Linked DNA regions of Oreochromis niloticus. The protein of the gene in region 1 purifies or fractionates together with the protein of each later gene. This does not show direct contact. Links are inferred from orthologs where the notes say so. Each region holds a gene or a part of one and is shown in the gene's direction. Other genes may lie near its edges. The genes, in order: polr2g, scaf1 and ctdp1.

Region 1 (3,751 bases):
CAGGTTACACATTACCAAAATAATCTGAAATGAAAATAAACACAGCAGTATTTTAAAAGTTAAAACAAAACAACCCCTGTTACAGGAATATATTTCACAAATATCTTCCAGTTGTGATTTCATCATCAATCCCCTGCAGTGCAAGCAAGTATGAAAAGACCTCATTTTTACGTGTGTTGGATACATTCATTCATACCAGGCAATATAATGCATTCTTTTTAAAGGTAGCTGCTAAGCCTGCATACCAAACACAACCCAGAGTGCTATAGATATCCTGGAATGTGACAGGATTTACATGTGTAGTTTTGCAAACGATGGAGGTTTTGAATTTTAGAAATCCTTTTCTGAAAGGAAGAATTAATAAACAGGTCTAGACTACATGGAGTCAGGAAATCTAACATCCATCTATCCACACTTTGTCCAATTTAGACTCACCAATTAACCTAACCTCACTAAAAGGGTGTCTTAGAAGCCGGAGTACCCGGAGAGAAGATCCAAACACCACACAGAAAGGCCCTGGACCTCCCCGAGTTTGTCCATGCAATTGAATCTCAGACAAAACGCACCTGCTGCTAAAACAAAGACATACAGCACACAAGCACACCTGTGTCCTTGTTCATCAGTTCGTTGTAGTATGCAAAGAAGGCTCTGAACTCTGCCGGCCTGTGAGACAGCACTTTAAAGACATTGGGCAAAAATCCTCCCTGTAAGGAAGCACAGGTTTAATGGGGAGCAGAATCAAGTTCAGCAGACTTAAAGACCTTGAACGCCTCATATGTAAACCTTTGATTCCACTTCCTCCATAAGCTCCACTATATCATACGGCAGATCTTTCTTGTAAGGAATTGGGTATCGGCTGATTTTCTCTGGTGGAGAGCCACTGGAGGAAGATCTGGTGCCCGTCGCTGCTGCCGCCGCCCCCTTCCCCCGAAACAAGCAACCTGAACGGAGACACACCTGCAGGGAGGACAGCGCAGTCACATAAAATCACCCATAAAGTGCGCTGGAGATAGCCTACAAAGTGGAAAAGTATGGAACAACTTACAAGCTGTGTCAGAGGAGGGCGGAACAGCTTCGAGACGAGGTTACTCGCCATGTCAGTCAGCAGAAACTGGAGGCTGGTGTGAGATTAATCTGATCGTCAGTCAGCTACTGCTGTATCCAGGCGAAGAGGTTTTTAAGGAAGTCAGACTAATCCTTAAGAGGCACAAAGTTAGAGCTAATGTCGCTAAGTTAAACAGGGATATTTACCTATCCAGCTTTCAGTCACCTATTCGACTCCACAGTGCGTCACATTACACAATAACTGAAGCAGTGTTGACCATTAATTAGCTACCGTGTTAGCAAATAACTCGTTTTTGCTTCGTTTATATGTCAGATGTTAATAGTCTCGTGGAAAACAAACCAATCAAAACCCAGTATGGAGGCACGCCTGCTGCACGTCCACACCCTCACGCACTAGTCCTCCTCACCGACAGGGGTCAGTCTGTGACTGGATTGAAAAGGTTAGCCTGATTTCTGTGGGTCGTTTAAATAGTTAATTAAGCGATTCTTAGATAAAGCAGATAAAGTATTTAAATTGTTATTAATATTTATTATTTAACTTAACTTGTGATTATTAGAGCTGACTTTCGTGTCTACCAAAATTAGGAAAGAAAAGCGACACGCTCCTGAGAGACAGAACTGAGGGCAACAACATCCCATATCCCAACATCGTCCTCTGACTCGGAAGTGACTTTGTCAAGAACAAACGAGCGGCTGGTTTTCATTCAATACACGAAAAAACATCTTTTGGAAAATATAATAAAACGATTTTTGAGTTGGGACTAAACGTAAACAGACCGAAATGTTTTACCATGTAAGTATTTGTATTGCTCTCCGTATATAATCGCTAACAGCAGTCTGGTTCTGTTGTTGATAAGAGTTTGGCTGGCGTGCTTGTAGCTACTGTAGCTTTGTAAAACTTTATCATATACCCTTAAAAGCTGTTATCACTGTTGCGCTTTTATAGTTGTGTGGAGATGATACCAGTGTTTTTTCTCTTGTTTTTGAACGGCAGCAGAATAGCTTGAGCAGTGACGTTGTCCACGGCAAGCTAATTTAGAGAAGCCTTGTTTTCACAGATTTCTTTGGAGCACGAAATCTTACTACATCCGAGATATTTTGGTCCAAATCTGCTGAACACCGTGAAGCAGAAGCTCTTCACAGAGGTCGAGGGGACCTGCACTGGCAAGTGAGTGACTCTTGTGTTTGACTTAAAAATACTTTAAATCAAAGGCTAAAAAGAGGTTGAAATTTGACCTTTGGCTTCTGGAAAACTGGGCCACAGATGGAGGTTGTTTTGCAATTTAAATAATTTGTTTAATTCTGTCTTGCAGGTATGGCTTCGTCATTGCAGTTACCACCATTGACAACATCGGAGCTGGCGTAATCCAACCAGGCAGAGGTTTTGTCCTCTATCCAGTCAAATACAAGGCCATTGTCTTCCGTCCGTTTAAAGGAGAAGTTGTGGATGCAGTGGTCACTCAGGTTAACAAGGTGAGGGGCAGGTTTAGAGTCTTAAAGCCCTAACACAGTGTTCATACCATGCTGTAGGAAAGTTTTTGCCCCCTTTCTGATTTCTTAGTTTTTTGTTTGTGTTTGTTTTTTTTGTTGTTGTTTTTTTCATATTTGATGATCATCAAAAAAAAATTATATCAGAGAGAGGGTTTTAACTTTAGTAAATACAAAATGCAGTGTTAAATGAATTCATTTATTAAGGGGAAAAAAGCTATCCAAAACCTAGTTGGCCCTGTGTGAAAAATAATTCCTGCTACATTTTAAATCTTACATTAAATATGACTAATCATTTTGGAATTTTTTATTTTTTTTGGAAAGTTGAGTTCAGTTTCACTATCCACACCCAGGGCTGATCACTGTCAAACCTGTTGACTCAAGAACTCACTTAACTTGTTGGGGATTTCCATGTTTGTTAGTTTTTTACCTTACAATATAAAGCGCCTTGAGGCAGCTGTGGTTGTGGTTTGGCACTAGATAAATAAAACTGAATTGAATTGAAGTAGGACTGGTCTGACAAAGTGATGTAGGCTAAAAGATCTCAAAAAGCAACACACTAAAGAAACTCAAGAACAGATGAGAAACAAAGTCAATGACACATGTCAGTCTGGGAAGAGTTACAAAGCCATTTCTAAGGTTTTGGGACTCCACTGAACAACATTGAGAGTGTTTAACTACAAATGGAAAAATGCATTCAGCTGTCTGTGCATTGAGGCTCTCTGTGACTTGGATTATGCAGCAGGACAATGAGTCAAAACAAGTACACCTCTGGATGGTTAAAAAGCTAAAATAAGAGTTTTGGAGTGGCATAGTGAAAGTCTGGACTTAAATCGAATTGATATGCTTTGGCATAAAACCTGCCACCACCTCTCCCTTCTCTTGTCTCTATATCCTGTATTCCAGCCATCCTATAAGATGTAGAAATATAAAAAAAAATGTACTTCTGAATTTTCTGAATCACTTTAACAGCCAAAGTGTTAAACTAAATGTGTCCAGTTTTAAAAAATGAAGTCATGAATTGCTGAAAAAGAATAGTGTTTTGTCTTCCTTTTGAAATGTTTCTAAATATGTCTGTAATTCTTACAGGTCGGTTTGTTCACAGAAATAGGTCCCATGTCCTGCTTCATCTCTCGCCACGTGAGTCAGCAAGATATTTACAATTGTGTTTAATTAGTTGTCGTTTAGTGCACTTTGT
Region 2 (3,751 bases), on another chromosome or scaffold:
ACTCGGTGTTCAGCGGTACGTCGCCTCTGATGGAGTCATCAGAAACAGGTCAACTATGGGATGTGGACAAACTGTTTGAATCTACATGTTGTGTATGTTTGGAAATGTATATACCTGCCTTACACAAATAAAATTAGACAATGGCAACAAATGAACCAAAACGTGTTAAATAGTGTATCTGTGACAGCAGTTTTCATGTTGCTTATGTTAAATGGCTTTGTGTGGTTGTTTGATGTGTGAAGTCCGTTTCTACGGTTTACAGTACAGAGCTTAGTTTTTAACACGTGTTAGGAATGTGCTGGTCCACTTTAGACACTCTGCACACAAACATTGGACTTTGTCTCAGCCACAGTGCAGTCTGTTATGTTTCAGTTATGCACACGGGTGGTGTTTTACCTCTGGTCTGCATACACACTGCTGACAAATTAAAAGTGTTGGTAGCCCAACACTTCTCTCCTTTGTTCGTGCGCCAACCCAACAACTAACCTGTGCGTTTAATATGAACATGTACGAATAGTCTGCTGGGTTTGTCATGTCACAGCAGTACCTGTTTTACTGAAGAGCCAGAAGGAGAAAAAATCCTAAGAAAAGGCAGCAAGGTTAGTATTTAAAAAAGAGGGAAATTATATTCTAAAGATATGAATAAGAAGAACCTCACAACACTGCTGTGGCCATACTGGATGGCATGTTCTTATCATGTCTGTTCACTCCAATGTGCTATCGCAGTCCAAAAACATGCATGGTTATCATCACAAGTGTAAATATGAGTGTTAGCCCTGCAGCCGGTGGATGACCTGTCCGGGCTTTTACACTATGGCAGCTGGGATAGACAGACACTGGATGGATGGGTGATGTTCAAAGCCAGCTGAGCCTGGATGTGCTGAAGAACTACTGTCTCCTTACTTTAGTAACAGGTGTTTTTACCTGAGGAGTTCTGCTTTTGCCAATTTCTAAACTTTGTCTGTGTTTTGGTACATTTGATGCTTCATATATGGAATCCATTTATGCAAACCTTTTAAAAGTAAAAGTGAGTTATGACAGTAAACATGTTCATGTTACTTTGATCTATGAGTTCGGTTTAGGGTAGCATACTTCAGACAGCTGTCTGTAAACCAGTCACAGCAGAAATGAATTAGTTGTTACAAAAAAGACACTTTTTTAAAAGCCAGTTTGAACTTCTATGTGTAAATGTGTAACGGTGTCATGATCACGGCACATCAAAGGCAACTTTAATGGTGTGTGGTAAACGATGTATGCGGCTCTTTTGTAGCACCTGCGATTCACTCGGTTTCCCATCATTCTTTGTGTCCGGTTTCAGGGGAGGGAAGATGGCGGTGACTGGTGGAACAGACCCGTTTTAAATACTGGTACGTATTTAAGCACCACAAAAAGCAGCATATATCTAATTTCGTGGTTTGATTGAATGTCTGACAAAGTAACAGCCAGTAGATGTGAAGCGGTGGCTTTGGCCTGAGACAGAAGGTCACCGGGATGAAGGGAACCCATCAACATACTCCTCTTCTTGCTAGGTGCGCTAAGCTAATTAGCTACATGGGTAACTGAAAATCTGCCGCCAGACATTTTTAGCGTCTGTTAGTAAATCGAGTGTGCGACCCGTGACAAACCTGCATTACACATAATGGAGTTAATGGTCAAAACGCAAGGCGGAAAGATGTTTTGTAAAGCAGCCAGCGCGCTGTCCAGGCACGAAAATCTAATGATAATGCTATCTGTGACAAGCACTGAGAAATAAAAGTCCCTAATATGGAAGCTAAACGTATTTTTCTTTTCTTTTACAAGTCAGAAATCACGTAAGCGTCCCAACAGAGAAGGAGAACGACGGTAATGTTTAATTCACCGTGTAAACAACAGAGAGACAGTCATGTGCTGCGCAGTTTTTTTTTAATGATTGTGTTCAATGAGTGTAGACTGAAAAATGTGTGTGTTGACCCGGTGTAAGGGTCGACTCCTCCGACGGCTGCCTTCAGCTGTCTCTCAGCTCACCCTGGTGAGAGCGCAGTGGGACTCAGTGGGCCCCCTCAGACTGGCTCTGGTCTTCTGTTTCGTATGACTGGACTCCAAACTCTGATTACACTCCCGACTGCAGAAGCATGTTAACAGGCAGATGAACGTTTAGCTCTTTGTAACAACAATAATAATATCATTCAAATTCCTTCAGTCAGTCTTTTCTTTGTTTCGCTGTACTGTACTAAAGACATGCCCTCTCTTTGACAACACAATTGTAGAAACAGTCTAACCTCTGAGTATCCACCATGGTATTCATCATTTGTCACGATCGTAGGCTCTCCACGGAGCATTTCCACTTGGATTATATTGTAACGTAAAGTGACACATGTTCTTTTCTTTCTGCAAGGTTGGTTCCTGAGCCCTGTTTTCTGGTGTGACCTGCCACGCCCTAGGTGTCTCAGTATTACTTCCCTCACTTTTTGACCCACCGGTATTTCTGGCTCATGGACTTGACTTTGGCAACAGGCTTCAGAAGGAGGCCTGGTGCCTCCTCTTCCCCAGGTGGAGTTGAAGAGACCTCAAAGAGCCCTCCTTCCTACTCACCTTCATTGTCTGCATCATCTCCTTCAACCAGTCCATCTTCACCATTGTCTACATCCTCCTCTATGTGTGCCAACACATCAGTTTATCCAAGCCGTGTAAAAAGCCAGTTCAATGGAACAGAGAGAGCCAGGGTTTCCTCCACTTCTGCCTCTCTAGCTACGCAGTCTCTCTCTAAACCTACATGCAGTACCACCTCCTCAGATTGTTTGCCTCACACTTTAATGCAACAAAGTGCTGACTGTGAAAAACAGGAGAGGAAAAGGGTGATGTACAATCCTTTCAATCCAAATAATGGAGCTAGAGAAGGAACAGAGATGAAGGAGGTGGGGGAAGGAGAGAAATACGATCCTTTTGACCCCACTGGTTCCCCAGCATCAGATGTTGATGATGAGAGTGGCAAAGCAAGGATCCTGAAGAGAAACACTATGAGAGAAGAAAAGGAGAAGGTGGAGGAACCTCCAGATTCCACGGACGCCTTCACTGACCTTCCAAGCGCCTGTCTGAGCACTCAGCTCCCTCTGAGGAGGAGGGTGGACTGCAGCACCATGAAAGCTGATTCAGATCACTCTGAGATAGAGGAGGGCGAGATAGTTGGAGCCATTGAAAGAGATGGAAGCACTAAGAGACCTGTAGAGGAAACCCTCCCCCTAAGTTCTCCCAGCATCTCCTTCTTTGGGTCAAAGCCAGAGCGAATCTTCCGAGTGCTAGATGGGGATGGCTTTGTGTCTGTTTGCACAGAGGGCAGCTGGGAAGTAGACACTGAGCTCAAGGATGAGCCTGTGGTAGGAGTAGAGGATCTGAGAAGGAAGCTGGTCAGCAGAAGGAAGGAACGATATCTCTCCTTTCCTGCTTCTTCACCCTGCTCCCCCCAGCTGCCACCGCCACCACCGCCGCCGCCTCCTTCTCATCCTCCAACCTCTACATCCTCATCCCCTTTAACGCCTCCTGAAGATCAGGGCGGCAAAAACTCCAAGGGCCACAGCCAACAAAAAAGCAAAGATAGAAAAGACGGAGAAAAGGAGATTAGAAGAAAAAAGAGAAGGAAAGGCAAAGAGTGGGGTCAGGAGTTGAACAAGAAAAAGGCGCAAAAGATGGGCAAAGAGGATAAAGGAAGAAGGAGCAGCAGGAGCAGCAGTCGGAAGAGGAAAAAAAGATGGCACAGCAGCCCAGAGACTTCACG
Region 3 (3,751 bases), on another chromosome or scaffold:
AAATAGGTCTATTTATTGATGGAAATAGATTGTATAACTTTAACCACACTAGTGCTAAGTCCATCCATCGACCCACTGCATCCACCCACTGACAATGATCTAGGTTAGGTAACAGAAGCCCTCTTGTGTGCAATATACATAATTTTATTTAAAATATAATTTCAGGAATTTCATGAGTTCCTTTAAATTACTAATTTTGCCTCAATGAAAAAAAAGAAGATTCAATTTCATTAACCCCACATATCAGACAATCTTCTCAAAAGCATAACAACTTTCATAAATTTAATAAGAAAAAAAATGTCTATTTCATAATTTGTAGAACATAGTATAAGATTATTTTTAAATACCAAACGTTAACGGAAGTTGCTATAAAATACTTGTGTAAGCTATGTTTTATCGCTGGTATTCCAAGATTATTTCTAGGGCTTTTATTGTGAAATATAAGAAGAAAGGCGTTTTCACACCTGCGTGAAAAAGAAATCGGGTAGTGAAACATCTCGGTTAGTTGAAACGAACACTCTGGAAGGAGGTGCTTAAGTTCTACGTCATTGAACAGTTAGAACAGCGCGAGGTACGTCCTTGTCCTGTAAGGTCATCATCTATCTCCTCTGCTTCCTTCCTTCAGTCCCATCTTCAGCCTGGAAAGTTAAATATTAACATAACTCGAGGGTCGGTGTAATCTATACAATCAAACCTAAGGCTTTCTTAAACTATAACAACCTCCTTCACTTACACCTTAAACATGACTGCATTTGTAAATATCATGCTCTTATTGCAAAACCCCCATGAGACACTTGTGTAGTGTTACTTATATGTTACATCAAGTTGCGTCAGGTAACACCATGTCTGTGCGGGTTCAGGGGCTTTAACGAAAAAGGGAAAAATAAATAAAGATCTTGCACGGTTCGAGTGGATTTTAACACAATATGTAAGCGCTATGTAGGTGATATCTATAATAAGGAGTAGTTAAAATAACCACATTGGTGACTCTAAAAGTTTACGGCAACATTGTGAAAAGCGTCACAAAGAGGCATCTGCCGATAATAACAATCCACGAGTCGTTTTATTTTGAAACCTAAGTAGAAACTGCGTTCAGAGACGATCGAGGGAAGTAGTTTCATTTCCTATTAATCCCACTGTGCACAAACTGACTGTAGATTAGCCAGCGGCACCGCAGAGGGCGCCGGCGAGCTCGTCCTCGATGATCACAAGTGTAAAAGGACCTAAACGGCTAAAACCTGCTTCTAGACAAAAACCCACAAATTACTATTATTATTAATTTTTGCATACCTATAATTTTGACGACCTAAAATATAACAACAGTTACGTCATTTCCTTTATCTTAAAAAAGAAAGAATCGGATTTTCCGAAAACCAAACCTGCAAGTTGATTGGTCAATTTAGGATTCACTAGCTTCGTGCCCAAAATCAAAATGGCAGATGCCGTAAAGTGTCTTATTATTGCGCTGTCACATAAAACGCATTTTAACTACAATCGAACCCCGTAAAATGTTTTTCGAAATTTAACTGAGTCCATTGTCTCACATTCACCTATAAAAACACACGATTAAAGTCCCCAGCATAACATTCTCCACAGAATTTACATTTGGGGGCTTCACGTCCACGGGGATGTATTCATTCTGGACTACCTCGCGAGCGCCCTCTAAGAAAACAGGGATCCAAAGAGTGGGCGTTCTCGGAGACGATAGCAGTTCTCTGGTGTTTTTCGCGAGTGGCTTGCTGTATACCGGATGCTGTAGCGACCCGTGTCGCTGCAGTGTTGCGCTTTCCTGTTTACGGGCGGGAAGAGCGAACGTAGCTGGGACTGTGGAGCTGCTGTGTTTAAATCTGCAGCACATTTGTTTTAATTCTCCTCGATGTTGACGGTTCGCACGTTTTAATGATACACGGGGCTTTGCGAGGTCGAGTGGATACCTTTTAAGCTGTCAGCTTTTCAAAAGTAAGGAGATTTTGTTTTTGGAGAGTGCGGGGCAGATGGAGGATCCTCCTGCAGATTTTGGTGGTGGCGGCGGTGGTGCAGCTGCAGAGGGCCCCGTGGTGCAGGTGGCGGATATCTGCTGGCCAGCCGGGGCTCTCCCTGTCCGGCTTATAGAGTGGAAAGTCAAAGCCGGCTCTCTTGTTAACGTGGACTCCGTGCTAGCACTGTGTGCACCCATACCTCAAGAGAAGGGGACTGATGGTGCCAGGCTGCCAGAGAAGAAGGTGAAATCGGACCGTGCTGGAATAGTGAAGGAGCTATGCAGTCAACTTGGACAAGTCATATCTCCCGGGTGAGTCACCCTGCTTGCTATAGCTCGTTAATGTTAGCTGACCTGTTCCCTGTTTGTGTCAGCTCAGTTTTGTTGCAGCTGTCTTCATGCTCACTGTACCTAAGCTAGCTAACGAGCTAACACTGTTAACCTGACGTTAGCTTGTTTGCTAGCCACGCTCAAAGCAACACAGCGGAGCGTTTGCTCTGACCAGTCAAGTACCGCAAAATAAACAAGCTGGCGTTTCGTCGGGGGCTTTCAAAATAAGAGCATCGTGTTTTATAAATATTATTTTATCTAGCTTTGTCAGGAGTTGTGATTGTGGTGAAAGAGAAAGTTAGAAAACAATTTTATTTGCTATATCAGAATTTTGATTAACATGCAGTAATGATTGAATTTACAAACCTCCGCACTTTTGTTTTGAAGGCGCGACCACGTGGTAGATGCTCTCGTGCTGTTTGCCTTGACGCAGCCACTATCGCGTGCACAAAATTGTGTACAAGCAGTGCAGATTGACAGGTAGAAGAGTGACCCTGGAGGCAGCCGTTATCCTCGTGAGCTTGAACCAGCCGTGTATATGTATGTATGTGTGTGTGTGTGTGTGTGTGTGTGTGTGTATGTGTATATATATATATATATATATATGTACTTTAACGCGTATTAATTCACAGTAACGGGAGACGTGTATCTTAGCAGTTAATTAGTAAAAGAGGAGATTTTGAAGTTCTCTTTAATTGGTTTGACCGGTCTCTTTGTGCTTTATTAAGTATTAGCATCACTTCTTATGCGGAATATATCAAATTTAAAAGAAATGTCCTATTTTTGAAAACTTTACATTTAAATTCGACACCTTTTGATATTAATACACATTCAAAGCTGATATAGTTGTTATTTGCTATTAGGAAAGGGTCGTGCTGCTTTCAGGTACTCTTTGTAAACTCTTGCTCCCGGCTTAGTCTACTGTTAGCTGTTTATAATACTTTAACAGCGTCTTATTATTACAGCTATATAAAGTGAAACACCTAATTAACAGCTTTCTTTATGTTTCTTTATGTACTTGCATGCTACAGTTAATGAGAATCTGTGCACAGTCCCAGGCTTCAGTTTGCAAGCAAGTTAATTGGGTCTTTAATTATTTTCCTGTTTTTTCCTTTTTCCAGGGGCATCATAGTCAGAATAGAAGAATGCAGCCATCCCATCGTCATGAAGGGCTTATGTGCCGAATGTGGTCAAGATCTAACTCAGTAAGTACATGCTTTATCTCTCTTTTTTGTTTGTTTGTCTTTAACTTAAATCTTTGTGTTTTTCTGATCTGCTCAGGCGTTTTCCCCCCAAGAACTTTAATTTCCCCCCTTTTATTGCATAGATATATCTATAAACAATAAAACAAACTAAAATGGAACAGCAAACCCCTCCATATAGGCTCATTTGGGATGGATGTCACGGTTGTGTAATTTCACATGCTGGTGGCAGAAGAAAAAG

Evidence for each region.
Region 2: the proteins of polr2g (region 1) and scaf1 purify together in Homo sapiens (affinity purification with mass spectrometry; 3 studies listed by BioGRID and IntAct, counting the BioPlex papers as one, with this or other methods). This does not show direct contact. The link is inferred for Oreochromis niloticus from reciprocal best matches to the Homo sapiens genes POLR2G and SCAF1.
Region 3: the proteins of polr2g (region 1) and ctdp1 purify together in Homo sapiens (affinity purification with mass spectrometry; 4 studies listed by BioGRID and IntAct, counting the BioPlex papers as one, with this or other methods). This does not show direct contact. The link is inferred for Oreochromis niloticus from reciprocal best matches to the Homo sapiens genes POLR2G and CTDP1.

Annotation. Positions count from the first base shown.
Region 1 is NC_031966.2:22,184,238-22,187,988, reverse strand, and holds the start of polr2g (DNA-directed RNA polymerase II subunit RPB7), read left to right. Parts: upstream 1-1,379; 5' UTR 1,380-1,505; intron 1,506-1,650; 5' UTR 1,651-1,846; coding exon 1,847-1,858; intron 1,859-2,123; coding exon 2,124-2,233; intron 2,234-2,378; coding exon 2,379-2,538; intron 2,539-3,642; coding exon 3,643-3,693; intron 3,694-3,751. Other genes in the region: uncharacterized protein si:ch211-175m2.5, read right to left, coding at 605-704, 784-957, 1,046-1,096. UniProt on the Homo sapiens protein: Core component of RNA polymerase II (Pol II), a DNA-dependent RNA polymerase which synthesizes mRNA precursors and many functional non-coding RNAs using the four ribonucleoside triphosphates as substrates.
Region 2 is NC_031969.2:2,175,586-2,179,336, forward strand, and holds the start of scaf1 (splicing factor, arginine/serine-rich 19), read left to right. Parts: upstream 1-1,299; 5' UTR 1,300-1,367; intron 1,368-1,382; exon of another isoform or gene 1,383-1,529; intron 1,530-2,374; 5' UTR 2,375-2,471; coding exon 2,472-3,751.
Region 3 is NC_031985.2:31,525,913-31,529,663, reverse strand, and holds the start of ctdp1 (RNA polymerase II subunit A C-terminal domain phosphatase), read left to right. Parts: upstream 1-1,400; 5' UTR 1,401-1,994; coding exon 1,995-2,290; intron 2,291-3,429; coding exon 3,430-3,513; intron 3,514-3,751. UniProt on the Homo sapiens protein: Processively dephosphorylates 'Ser-2' and 'Ser-5' of the heptad repeats YSPTSPS in the C-terminal domain of the largest RNA polymerase II subunit. This promotes the activity of RNA polymerase II.